Nothobranchius furzeri: one gene and its partners. The protein of the gene in region 1 purifies or fractionates together with the protein of each later gene. This does not show direct contact. Links are inferred from orthologs where the notes say so. Each region holds a gene or a part of one and is shown in the gene's direction. Other genes may lie near its edges. The genes, in order: smarcd1, bicra and bcl7bb.

The links.
Region 2: the proteins of smarcd1 (region 1) and bicra purify together in Homo sapiens (affinity purification with mass spectrometry; 5 studies listed by BioGRID and IntAct, counting the BioPlex papers as one, with this or other methods). This does not show direct contact. The link is inferred for Nothobranchius furzeri from reciprocal best matches to the Homo sapiens genes SMARCD1 and BICRA.
Region 3: the proteins of smarcd1 (region 1) and bcl7bb purify together in Homo sapiens (affinity purification with mass spectrometry; 4 studies listed by BioGRID and IntAct, counting the BioPlex papers as one, with this or other methods). This does not show direct contact. The link is inferred for Nothobranchius furzeri from reciprocal best matches to the Homo sapiens genes SMARCD1 and BCL7B.

Annotation. Positions count from the first base shown.
Region 1 is NC_091743.1:58,867,838-58,871,590, reverse strand, and holds the start of smarcd1 (SWI/SNF-related matrix-associated actin-dependent regulator of chromatin subfamily D member 1), read left to right. Parts: upstream 1-1,212; 5' UTR 1,213-1,255; coding exon 1,256-1,441; intron 1,442-3,753. UniProt on the Homo sapiens protein: Involved in transcriptional activation and repression of select genes by chromatin remodeling (alteration of DNA-nucleosome topology).
Region 2 is NC_091753.1:46,788,319-46,792,071, reverse strand, and holds the start of bicra (BRD4-interacting chromatin-remodeling complex-associated protein), read left to right. Parts: upstream 1-1,375; 5' UTR 1,376-1,443; intron 1,444-3,112; 5' UTR 3,113-3,117; coding exon 3,118-3,158; intron 3,159-3,270; coding exon 3,271-3,316; intron 3,317-3,753. Other genes in the region: napab (N-ethylmaleimide-sensitive factor attachment protein, alpha b), read right to left, coding at 1-53. UniProt on the Homo sapiens protein: Component of SWI/SNF chromatin remodeling subcomplex GBAF that carries out key enzymatic activities, changing chromatin structure by altering DNA-histone contacts within a nucleosome in an ATP-dependent manner.
Region 3 is NC_091753.1:33,350,507-33,354,259, reverse strand, and holds the start of bcl7bb (B-cell CLL/lymphoma 7 protein family member B-B), read left to right. Parts: upstream 1-901; 5' UTR 902-952; coding exon 953-1,065; intron 1,066-2,376; coding exon 2,377-2,452; intron 2,453-2,541; coding exon 2,542-2,629; intron 2,630-2,727; coding exon 2,728-2,889; intron 2,890-2,999; coding exon 3,000-3,103; intron 3,104-3,248; coding exon 3,249-3,320; 3' UTR 3,321-3,753. UniProt on the Homo sapiens protein: Positive regulator of apoptosis. Plays a role in the Wnt signaling pathway, negatively regulating the expression of Wnt signaling components CTNNB1 and HMGA1.

The DNA of each region.
Region 1 (3,753 bases):
TAAAGCCCAAAATGAAAATTATAATTACAGTGTAGATGCTTTTAGATGTCCAAAAACACATGCCCCCCCCCCCCCCCCCCCCCGGGCAGCCAGCAATCTGTTTCTGATCCAACACAAAGAGATTATGCAAACAAATGGTGCCCCATGTTTTGTGCTGCCGATTCTCCATACTGAACAGAGAAAGTGTAACATCATCAAAAGTTGGGGGAAAAAATACATAAACTGTTGTGAATTTTTGCAGGACCGTAGCTCAAAACATTTAAAACTTTGCTCATCTTAGGATCTCTGCATCTGCATACAATCAACAAGCATTCAAAGAGGATCATGAGTCAACTGAAAAACCTCATGGAGGCACCGCAGATTCAGATCACCTCTCAGACACGGAAGCAGTTGGCTCACTAATTTATGTTCCCCTGCTGTGATGAAAGGAGATGTGGTGTATAATTTGTGTGATGTTCCTAAACAGAGGGAGATGGTGCGACTTGCAGTTCATGAACTTCTGATAAAAATTAAAAAAGAACTAATTACTGCAGTCTGTAATGTTTTGATATTTTTCACATTTCAGCATGTATTTTCTCGTTGAATAAAAGTTACGCATCTGCTGATGCTCATGTGTTGCATGTCAAAGTGATTAATTTGTAAATTAATGCAGCTTATTTCAGTTTTATGAGACAAATGGGACAAAATCACTCAAAATACCATTCTTATCTGTGCTTTTCTTCTACTTTAAAGTAAAATCTCTTTTCTTACGGTATTTTCAGTAAAAGTTCCAGAATATGTTGTTTTGGTTTAAAAATATTCTGCAGACTTTGTAGATGTCATAGATGTTACAGATATGTGAGCGAAGTTAGAATGGGTTTTTATTAAATTTTTGGTCTTGCAGGAAGCAATTGAAATGATGCTAAATTTGTATAGTGGACACTTTTTTCAGAGCTCCAGAAACAACATTTGGATCAATTGAACACACCAATTAAAATACAAAAACAATAAAAATAAGTTTTTAGTATGCTTAAAAATGCAAAATTAAGCATGTAGTTGTTTTCTGCACCACTTTGGGCTACAACGCTTCTAATTTATTTATTTATCAGGCTTCATGGATGGTTGAAAGACTATCATCAGCATCTCAATAGAAAAGCTAATTTATTTGTTACCAGATGTGAGCAGCAGATAGCGCTGTTTCATCTCCAACTCTCCCCATTGAGCTTGTTCTCGCGTTAGCTTCGTGCTTCCACCGGCGGCGACACTCAGAGAGGAGATGGCGGCCAGAGGGGGGTTTCAATCTGCTCCGACGGGTGGTGGCGGTGGAGCAATGGGCCCTGGACCGCCAGCAACCGGTGCAGGACCAGGTATGGGCCCCGGTACTCCCTCTGGAAGAATGGGGCCTTCGTCAGCCGCGCAGAACCACATGTACCGCTCTCCGATGCCCGGGCCTGGGTATCCGGTGAGTTCTCGTTCCATGTTTGCTGCTGACGCGTTAGCTTGTTCGCTAGAACAAAGCCCCTCATCGCTCCTTTGTTGCTACTGGCCAACGTTGTTTCTGTTTCTCCATGAGGACCAAAGCTGTGACTAACTCTCAGGCTGGTTGAATAGAGTCAGTCTATCCCAAAACTTATTTTAGCCACTTCCCTTGAGTTACCATCGGTGTGTTTGAATTTGCTAACCCATCCCGCCCGCAAACGTTAAAGTTTTAGTAAGCAGCTAGTTAGCTCATCATGCTAACGTTGCTAATTTGCTCTGTAGTTTGAATAAAAGCACTCCGAGAGGGCTCGAGTAGTGTAGGAAAATTCACAAAAAGTGAGTTTGTTACGTTTGAAAGTCCCAATTCGATTAGGTTTGGGATTTTCTATTTATTAGATGTCTTAAAATCAAAAGTCTGCTTTTGAATGAAAAGTTTACACTGATAAGAAACCATCAGTTTTCCAGACGGAAAAAACTAAATAAGAATAAAGCCTCAAATTCCGTTTTAATGCGTGAAGTTTGTGCTTTTGATCTAATAATATACTGGAAATAATTTGTCACTGATGGATTTTGTACTTTAAAAATATTCTAGTTAAACTTTCAAGCCTCACCTTTATTCTAAATTCTGATTTTCAGATCAGACTAGTGCTACTTAATCATGAGTTAAAGAACAAAAGTTTTCCAGATGTACTATAGTTACAATAAAACTAAAATAATAGTTTAGTCCCGCGATCAAGAAAGTCAAAATATTTCCACCAAAGGACACAAGCCAGCTGAGCAAAGTTTTTCTTTAAATGACAAAGGTAATGTTTTGTGTGTTTGTGCAGACTGATGTTTCAATTTAACTTTTAATATGCAGATGTCTGTTGAAACTACTATCTGATAGGTTTAACTCATGTAATTGGAGTATCAGTTAAAGGTTTTGATCATTCATTTAATCAACTAGCTCAACCTCCTGAGCTACTGTTGCAACAACGAATTGGGGAAAAAAATTGATTAAGAAATGCATTAGCAATGCAGTTCATCATCACTTTGTTGTGTTGTGCAGCTTTTTTAATTTATTTTTTTCATGTAGTGCAACCTTTTTTTTAACAGTCAACGTGTGTGCAGCTTATGGGGGGGGGGGGGGAATTTATGTAACTCTTCTGTTTAGATGTAATAAAAGCTTGAAATTATGAATGATTGGGGGCGTGTCCTTTTGATGGACAAGTAGCAGAGGGCTAGGGGTGGTCGGCGCTAGGGGCTTCCCTCCTGCTTGCTCCAGGGAAAGCTTCAGTCTGCCTTACCTTAACCCTCCCACTGTCCTAATGGGTGTGACCCCATGAGGAAAGTTGACCATTGAGCAGGGTTGATGGTTTATCCCTTGGGTCCATGTGGCATGGGCGACTAGTGACCACCACCTCACCACTGCCACGTGGACTTCAAGGGATAAACAATCAATTCTGCTCAACGGTCAACTTTCCTCGTGGGGTCACCCATTAAGACAGTGGGAGGGTTAAAAGTGTTAGCTTGTCCTGCCAGGGTTGGTCGATTTGTCATGATGACATCAACAAACAAAATAGTCATCAATAAACTTAATAGTCTACGTTGTTTATTCTACGCATTGTTTTAATCTTACCTGCTTCAGCAGTACCACTGCTGCTTGCGGTCTTTCTGTTCGAGGCACGTGCGCAGTAGCGGCCATTCGGGTGAGCCATTGCATCACCGGAAAAACAAGACATGGCGACCTGCAATGTAGCACAAAGTTTGAAAGCATTTTACAAAAATAAGCATGTACAGTGCAAAGTCTGCAAAGTAGGACTTCTTTCACAAGAAGATAATGCTGATGAACGAACGCCTTAAAAGGAAGCACGTCGTGGCAGAGAACAAAGGGGGACAGTCGCCTCTTTAAGCTAATTGCCCCTCGTTAGCTGCTAACATCATCAGGGACAGTGTTTCCCCTAGGAATTTTTCCAGCTGTGGTGGAGGTGGTGTTGGCGGGGGGGGGGGGGGACTATGACACGTCTCACCTTTATGTTAATATTGTTTTATTTGATGCACTCCACTTTGAACTGCACCAGTCCAGCGACTGCTGCAGTGTAATAACTAGTATTAAAGGTGAATACACCAATATTTGCACAAGAATAATTTCTGTTTTAAACTCTCAGTGACACACTTTGCAGGGTGGATTTGGCATTTAATTTTTCTTGGCGTCTGGAAAAACATCTTCTTTTTCCCCCTTTATTTGACTTTCTGCCCCCTTTATTTTGGTCCAAGACCATTACTGGGCTGGCCCTCTTAAACGCGTTCTACACC
Region 2 (3,753 bases), on another chromosome or scaffold:
TCCGCCTCCGCCATTAAAGCTGTAGCTTCTTTTTCTTTCCCACTGTTATCCATTCTGCTTTACTTGTTTTTCTGAATCTAAAGGGGGGCGAAAAAATACTAAAGTCAACAAAGTTGCTAAGTATTGCTAACAGCAGTGTCACATCAGCAGCCAGCGCTTTCTCTGTCACGTGACAATGGGAGGGCGGTCACAGCCCTGCTGCCTTCAGGTGCTGCTCGTACGGTCCAGAGTTGGTCCATTACAAATCTATAATGTTTCATGTTATAAACTGATTGTAGACCATGCTGCAACACAATATATCAATCGATAATTTAATTAAGAAACATGTTCGTTGTTAATATTTGCTGTAGAAACAAAGGAATCGCTTCTAATCTGTCTCAGGATCATTACAGTGCGTTCATGACAATCTATATAAAACAGTTCCCTTGTGTTATCTGTTTTCAACAGCCAATTATTTTTCTATAAGCAATCAGACATTAAAGGTGACAATATTTAAGCATAAATGTTGTAATAAAACGTAATAGCGTAAATATCTTCAAAAGTGCAGTTTTAAAGGAATATTGATTAGAATTATAATAAGAAAATGCTTTCCTTTAGTCAATGCCAGTTCCATTATAAAGAGACATTTTTAATCAAAATGGGTTAGCATCATAATGAAACTGTTTGTCAGCTGAAATCTTTACAATTTTAACATAAATAATAGATAACAACTATGTTAAGTGGTTTTCCAGGCTTTGCATTATAGCACAGTGAATTAAATGTGTGTAAAATATTTTGTTGAAAAATACATGACAAACATATTTTAGGGCTATGGGTTGTGGTAGGTAACTACATGAGTCAAACATTCAAATACCTTTTTAAAATTTACAAAAATAATCACGTATTTTAGAACTATACAAAAATTATTTAAAATATGGAAAAGGAATGTTTTCTTGTAGATTATGTTACAGTATTTTGCTTAGGCTTTTTGTAGATTAGTTTGTTCTTTTCTTAGCCAAAATCATATAATCTGATTGCAGTTCAAGACTGGGTTGCATTTATCTAACAAATCTGCTGGCATTTGTTAACATGACTGCTTTTATATTTTTTTACATTTGTGATCCAGTTTCTTTTATGATTTCATTTTAAGCAATTTCTCCCCACAGGCTTCCTCTGCTGTTCCTGCCTTTCTATTGATGTTTTTTGAGTTTTAAAAATGAAAACAAGTTAACATGAAGAATATGTCAAATTTAAGAATGCACTAATTAACACAACAAAAATGTTCAAAAACCGTTTAATGTTCCGAATGGGTATTTGTGTGTAAAGAAAGTCTCGATAAACAACATGGATTTCAATCAGGCAGAGCGGAAGTCTGCCGTTTCCTGCCAGTAGTTGGGTCCTGTTGAGCAGCCCGTGCGAGGCTGTCCTGGAGACCCCGCGCTGCCTGCACCTCTAACGTCTCGGGTGAGTTTGTTACAATGTAACAATTTCTCCATTAATCCCAATATCCGCTACAAAGCTGCGATATCTGCTAACTGTTCAGCAGACACGAACCGCACTGCTACCGCAAAAGAAGCGACACACTGCCGCATCACACCGTAAACAGGCTCGTTTTCCAACGAATTCCCAAGCATACCCCCTCTCATCCAAGAGTATTCCAACATTTACTGATATTCTGCTTGCAATTAGCAATAGCTCGCCACGTAGTTGCGTTTACGACTATAAGCAGACAGCATTTCTTCGTTTTAGCTCAACCGGACTGCCGCTGTGCGTAATTTGTGTTAAAATTGTGTCACTCTGGTTTGTTTTGAATGTCAAAGGCTCGAGCTAGCTATACGTCTGAATATTGTTGATAGCGGGGGTAGCTTGCTAGGCTAACGAAAGTCAACCCAAAAGCACCCAAATTGCTGAAATTACGGATGAAACTGTTTTAATTTCAAACATTTGAGTCGTAGGTCAGCTGTGTTGCTGTCAGATACTGTACGTTGGGGGAATTTGTTGAGGTATGCATGCAAAGCTCATTAAAAACATCAGCTAGCATCTAGCATTCCGTTTGCAGCGTCTCCATTCATATCCTGCGCACTGGTTTTCTGTAACCGAGCTGCGATCGGCGGACAGCTGGGACTCCTGCATCATGTCCACAATTTATTTGCATAGAAACTGTGTTGGTTTGGTTTTCGTGTTGTTGGACGAGCTGTGCACGGTTAAAAGTCAGCGACAGCTTACGCTCAAAATCTTTCCAGGCGGTGCGAAAACCGCGCGTTTTCAGTTTGTTGTCTGCTGTTTGATCGTGTTCAGAAATTTTAAGTTTTGTTACGTGTCTCGATGAGTTCAGGGCCGCACCAAGGTTGTTTGATACCGAGCGTACATGGGGAAAAATCTCGCTTTGTAATTGATATTGATAATCAAACGCTAGGTTAGACAGTTTTCGTTTTTTAGGAACTCAGAATTACTTTCTATGTTGATTCATAGTTTTTAATATAAACTAAATGCCTGATAGCATTGAGTGGTCTTTAAGATTTTTTTCCAAAGAAAAAATTTGTGTATAAAGTATATGAATACATTTTTTCATTGTTTTGAACGTTTCTTGCTGTCAAACATTTATTCATAAGTCAGAAAGAGTTTGTTGCTGGCCTATGGAGACTTCTCATAGCTTTTTACCATCAGGGAGGAAATAAAAAAACCTATGTCTAAAGGGAAAGACTCACTTCCACTAAAGAACTCTTTCTTCAAAAGAAGACACAGATGATTACTGAATAATTACCCGGATGTTTTTGGGGTGTGTGCCATGCCATCTCTTACTGCAAAAAACTGCCACTTAACAATATTTGTAATTATTCGCTTGGATTGTTTAAATGCCTGTATCGGTGGCTCAAGACTTTTTGAAAGTCAGTCTTTATCTTGCATCTACATGTCTTTAATGGCTCGAGTTTTGCTGGAGTAAATATGAAAATGTCGTTTAAAATTTAGTCAGCATGTGGTTTGAGAAAGTCAAGAATAATTATGAAGTTAAACCTAAGACAAACCCCATGTAATTCTTAATAACCATGTTATACAAAATGTAACTGAGTATTTTGGTTGTGATTGTTGAACAAGTCATGACCGAGCTTGAAGGTGTTTTTCATCTCAACAGTTGTCATGGATGATGAAGACGGCAGGTGCCTTCTAGATGTAATTTGGTAAGTATGTTCTGACAGCGTGAAAGACCTGATTCTAGTATTGTAGGAAATTTTATATCAGATTGTTCGGTTATGTGTCATTGTGTCACACATCTGTTGTTTTCTCCATCAGCGACCCAGAAGCTCTTAATGACTTTCTTCATGGATCTGAGACCCATGTAAGTATGAGAAGGGCTAACAAATGGCCGCATTTAGCAAAGCTTCACGATACAAGTTCTCCACTGATGAGTGACTTGTTCAGGTTTTATCTTTGTTGCTTTTGCATCTCTAATAAAATCAGTTTCGGCTCACAAGTTGATACACCCTGTAACCTGCATCCCTCACTGCTCTCATTAAACTTTTTATAACTCCTCTGCCTAATGGTTGCATTTGGGTTGCCAGAACAATAATTCCTATTACTAACGTTTCCCAACTCTTGAGTTATTCCTGTCATTTTGTTCCTCTGTAGCTTATCTCTTTACTGATGCTTTACGTTCTGGGTTCTCTGAACCATGTTCTGCCCTTGCCTTGCCCTCCCTCTGTTTTGATGGTCTGTATGTTTGTCCTGGTGACTTTTTTGCCTGCTGGTTTGGGTGTCTTTGGTTTCTGTCTGTCT
Region 3 (3,753 bases), on another chromosome or scaffold:
GAAAATCTATGGGGTATTGTGAAGCGGAGGATGCAATACGCTAGACCCAACAATGCAGAGGAGCTGAAGACGACAGAGCAACCTGGGCTCTCATAACACCTGAGCAGTGCCACAGACTGATCGAGTCCATGCCACGCCGCATTACTGCAGTTATTGAGGCAAAAGGAGCCCCGACTAAGTATTGAGTGCTATACATGCACATTCTTTTCATGTTCATTCTTTTCAGTTGGCCAACATTAGAGAAACAAACATTTTTTCATTGGCCTTTAGAATATTCTAATTTTCTGAGATACCAGATTTGATGTTTTCATTGGTTGTCACCTATAAATATCAAAATTAAACGTAATAAACATCGGAAATACATTGGTCTGTGTGCATTGCATGAATATAATGTACAAGTTTCACGTTTTGAATGGAATTACTGAAATATTTTCAACCTTTTGATGATATTCTAATTTACTGGCCAGCACCTGTACATCATGCAAACATTTAATTTGAGCTGTTTTAAACTGTGCTGAATAAAAGCCGGGCAGAAAATAAAGTAGCAATAATAATAATAATAATAATAATTCAAGTAATAACTAAAATTCATATATGTATGATAAGACTTACTTGTTCTTGCTTCCACAGCTTATATTCATATATAGAATTAACACTTTCTTCTTCTTCTTTTATCTAAAAAAGCATTTTTTTACTAAAATTGTAAGAAAAGAACAAAAAATTATTTAACATTGTTGGCAATTTAGTTCAAATTTTTCTGCTAGACACGTATAAACAAAAATTAAATATTTAAAAGTATCAGTTAAAAAATAAGTACATGTGTTAAATTAATGAATCACTTATAAATCGACACCACACGTGTCCACAGTGAAGGGGATGAGCTCAGACAACAAATTCTCGCGAGACTTCCATTGTTGAAGAGGACTGGGGCTTGAAGTTTTCAGATCTGTAGATGAACCATAACAGCATCAAGATGTCGGGACGTTCAGGCCGCGCAGAGACCCGAAGTCGGGCTAAAGACGACATTAAAAAGGTCCTGGCAGCCATCGAGAAAGTCCGTAAATGGTACGTAAGCTTTATGTGGGAGAAAATTTAGAGGGGATTGTTTTAGTGGACCGTTGCTTGCCATTTTGCTGCGTCGCTCAACAAACTTCAGTCGGAAAAGTTAGGTGATTGGCAACGCTGCTGACCAATCACAGCCTCTGTTGGAACGAAGAGGCGGGGCTAAGATTTTTTTTCCCCTACCCCCTCGTTTGGAGCTGTCAATATGGCTCCAGTTAACTGACATGCGTCGTACTGTGATGTGGACGTTTCGTAATGTGAAAAATGACCGACGAGCTTTTTAAAAATATTTGACCCACTGCCATTACTGCTGCGGGCTGGGAGAACCATTACTAGCTGTGGGCTACACTGGCTACAGACACATCAGGGTGCGGATTAAACAGGCAGAGGGTGCCGACCATCCTCCAGTCCCGACTCCCATATGTGCTTCAGCTAAATCAAAATTCTAGTTTCAACATGTCCATCATTATGGATTACAATGAAACGCATTCATTTTAACAGTTTACAAGGCACGTGTTATACTATAATGCTTTCAGGTGTCATCTAAACATGTGCATGCACATCCAAAATTACACACAGCATGATGAGGAGGGAGGTCTGTCAGCTGTTCACTTGAACATCAACATAGTTTCAATGGGAAATTTACCATTACATTTTTATAAATTTTATGTGATAATAATTCACACATATACTTATCTTGAAATAGCCAGGATGTTCCACAATACAAGATGTACAAATTAATTAGAAATTGTTTAAAACATTGTCTGAGTCTTTGATGGCTCCATAGCGCAAATAAAGTGGGATTTGGATCAGAATTAAATGGAGATAATTGCTACTTAGCATATGATTTATGTTGAACATGGTTGGTGCCATCCTTGTCTTTACAACATAAGAAAAAAATCAATAATCAACAACTAACCACTCCAAAAAAATCCTCCTAATATTAGTATTCAAATATGTTTTCAAGTTTAAACCACTTTTAAGCTTGATAATGGTTAGCTAAACTGTCACTTAATATAAAAGTTAGAAAGATCACCTGTTCTCTAATTAAATTAGGAAACTGAAAGGATGGATAAAAAGTAAATATCCAGGCACTGGTCAAGTAATGGCAAATAGTAGTTATTGTCCAGTTTAGGAGTTACCTGAAATCATAATGCTAATTTCTTTCATATCAAGAAAGAAAAACACATTCTAGGTGAGGTGAAATCTGAACGAATGTTTTTCTTCATTTAGGGAGTTCATGGCTCAGTTGGTGTCTAAACTTGCTGCACGTCTACTAAACTCCTGTATAACAATGATCTATTTTATTTCCAGGGAGAAGAAATGGGTGACGGTAGGAGACACATCTTTACGCATATTCAAGTGGGTGCCAGTAACGGAGACGAAGCAGGTGTGGGCCCTCGTCATGCTTGCTGAAACCAGTACATCTTGTTTATGTTTGTATCCTCCTCGTGAAACCCTCTCTCACTGTTCCATCAGATATTTCGCACCAAATCGACTGGTGGCGAGGGCAGGGGTTTAAAAGATGTGGTCCTAGAGAACAATAATACTTTACTGGATTTTACTGGTAGGTTATTTATAAAGAAGAAACTAATAAATAAGAAATTAGTAACACCTGGCTGTAATGGATGGTCACTTGTGAGCTACATTTTTTTCTCATCTTAGATGAAAACAGCAACCAGAGCTTCCTGTCAGATGTTTATCAGCCAAAAATGGATAACAGCAGCAGCAGCAACTCCAGCTCCCAGCAGGTCAGCCCCCCCCACCCCTACAGCCTCCGAGCTGAAGACTCTCAGCCCCCGATGCTCGGCCAGGAGAGCGTGGACGGTACGGCAATGATTCTGAGTTCAGCTAAGCATCTGCAGTTAGAAGATTTTTTTTGAAGGAGCACATTTGTATTTGTCATTTATTGACATATACATCTACACATCACTCAGAGCCAGCTCATTCAGGACGGGAAGCTGCAGACGAGCCCCCAACTCTCATCAAGGAGGACCCTCTCACATCAGGAGCTGTCAGACGGGGTGCCTCAGACACACAGGTTAACTTTGACTATGTAAACTATTTAAACAAGATTAAACTAAATGATTGATTAGATACGTTACATGTTGTGTGTCTGTTGCATGTTCTGAATTTAATAAAAATATATAAGGACAGAAATGACCTGATCTTTATTTGTTCCACAGGAAGAGTTGGATGAATCAGGAGCACCTTCTTTAAAGCGGATCTGCACAGGGGAAACCACCTCCCTAAGATAGCTTATTTATAACTATTTTTGTCAAAATGCACGGTAGGGGATCTGGGTGGTTGGAAGAATAACAAGGCTGTCATAGTGATTGTTTATTCATATCTACACAAATAGTACTCCATACATTTGAGCTAATGGGGAAAGTATCCCAAGAATGTTGCTTTATTTCTCACTTTGAGAGTCTTTGAAGTCTTGTTTGGTTGAAATATTTTTAAACAAAGTGAAGAGGTTATTTCAGACTATTGTGCATTTCCACACACACTCTGTACATGTTTCAAGATTCTGCCACAAGTTTGATTTTTGTCTTCATGTGTTGCAGTTTTTTTGGCATGTTTCCATCATATTTTTTATGAAGTATTTCGTGTATCTCATTTAGCAGATTGGTGGTTAGATGTGCCATTATATTTGAGCTTGATGGGGGAATTTTTCCAGAATAAAACAAG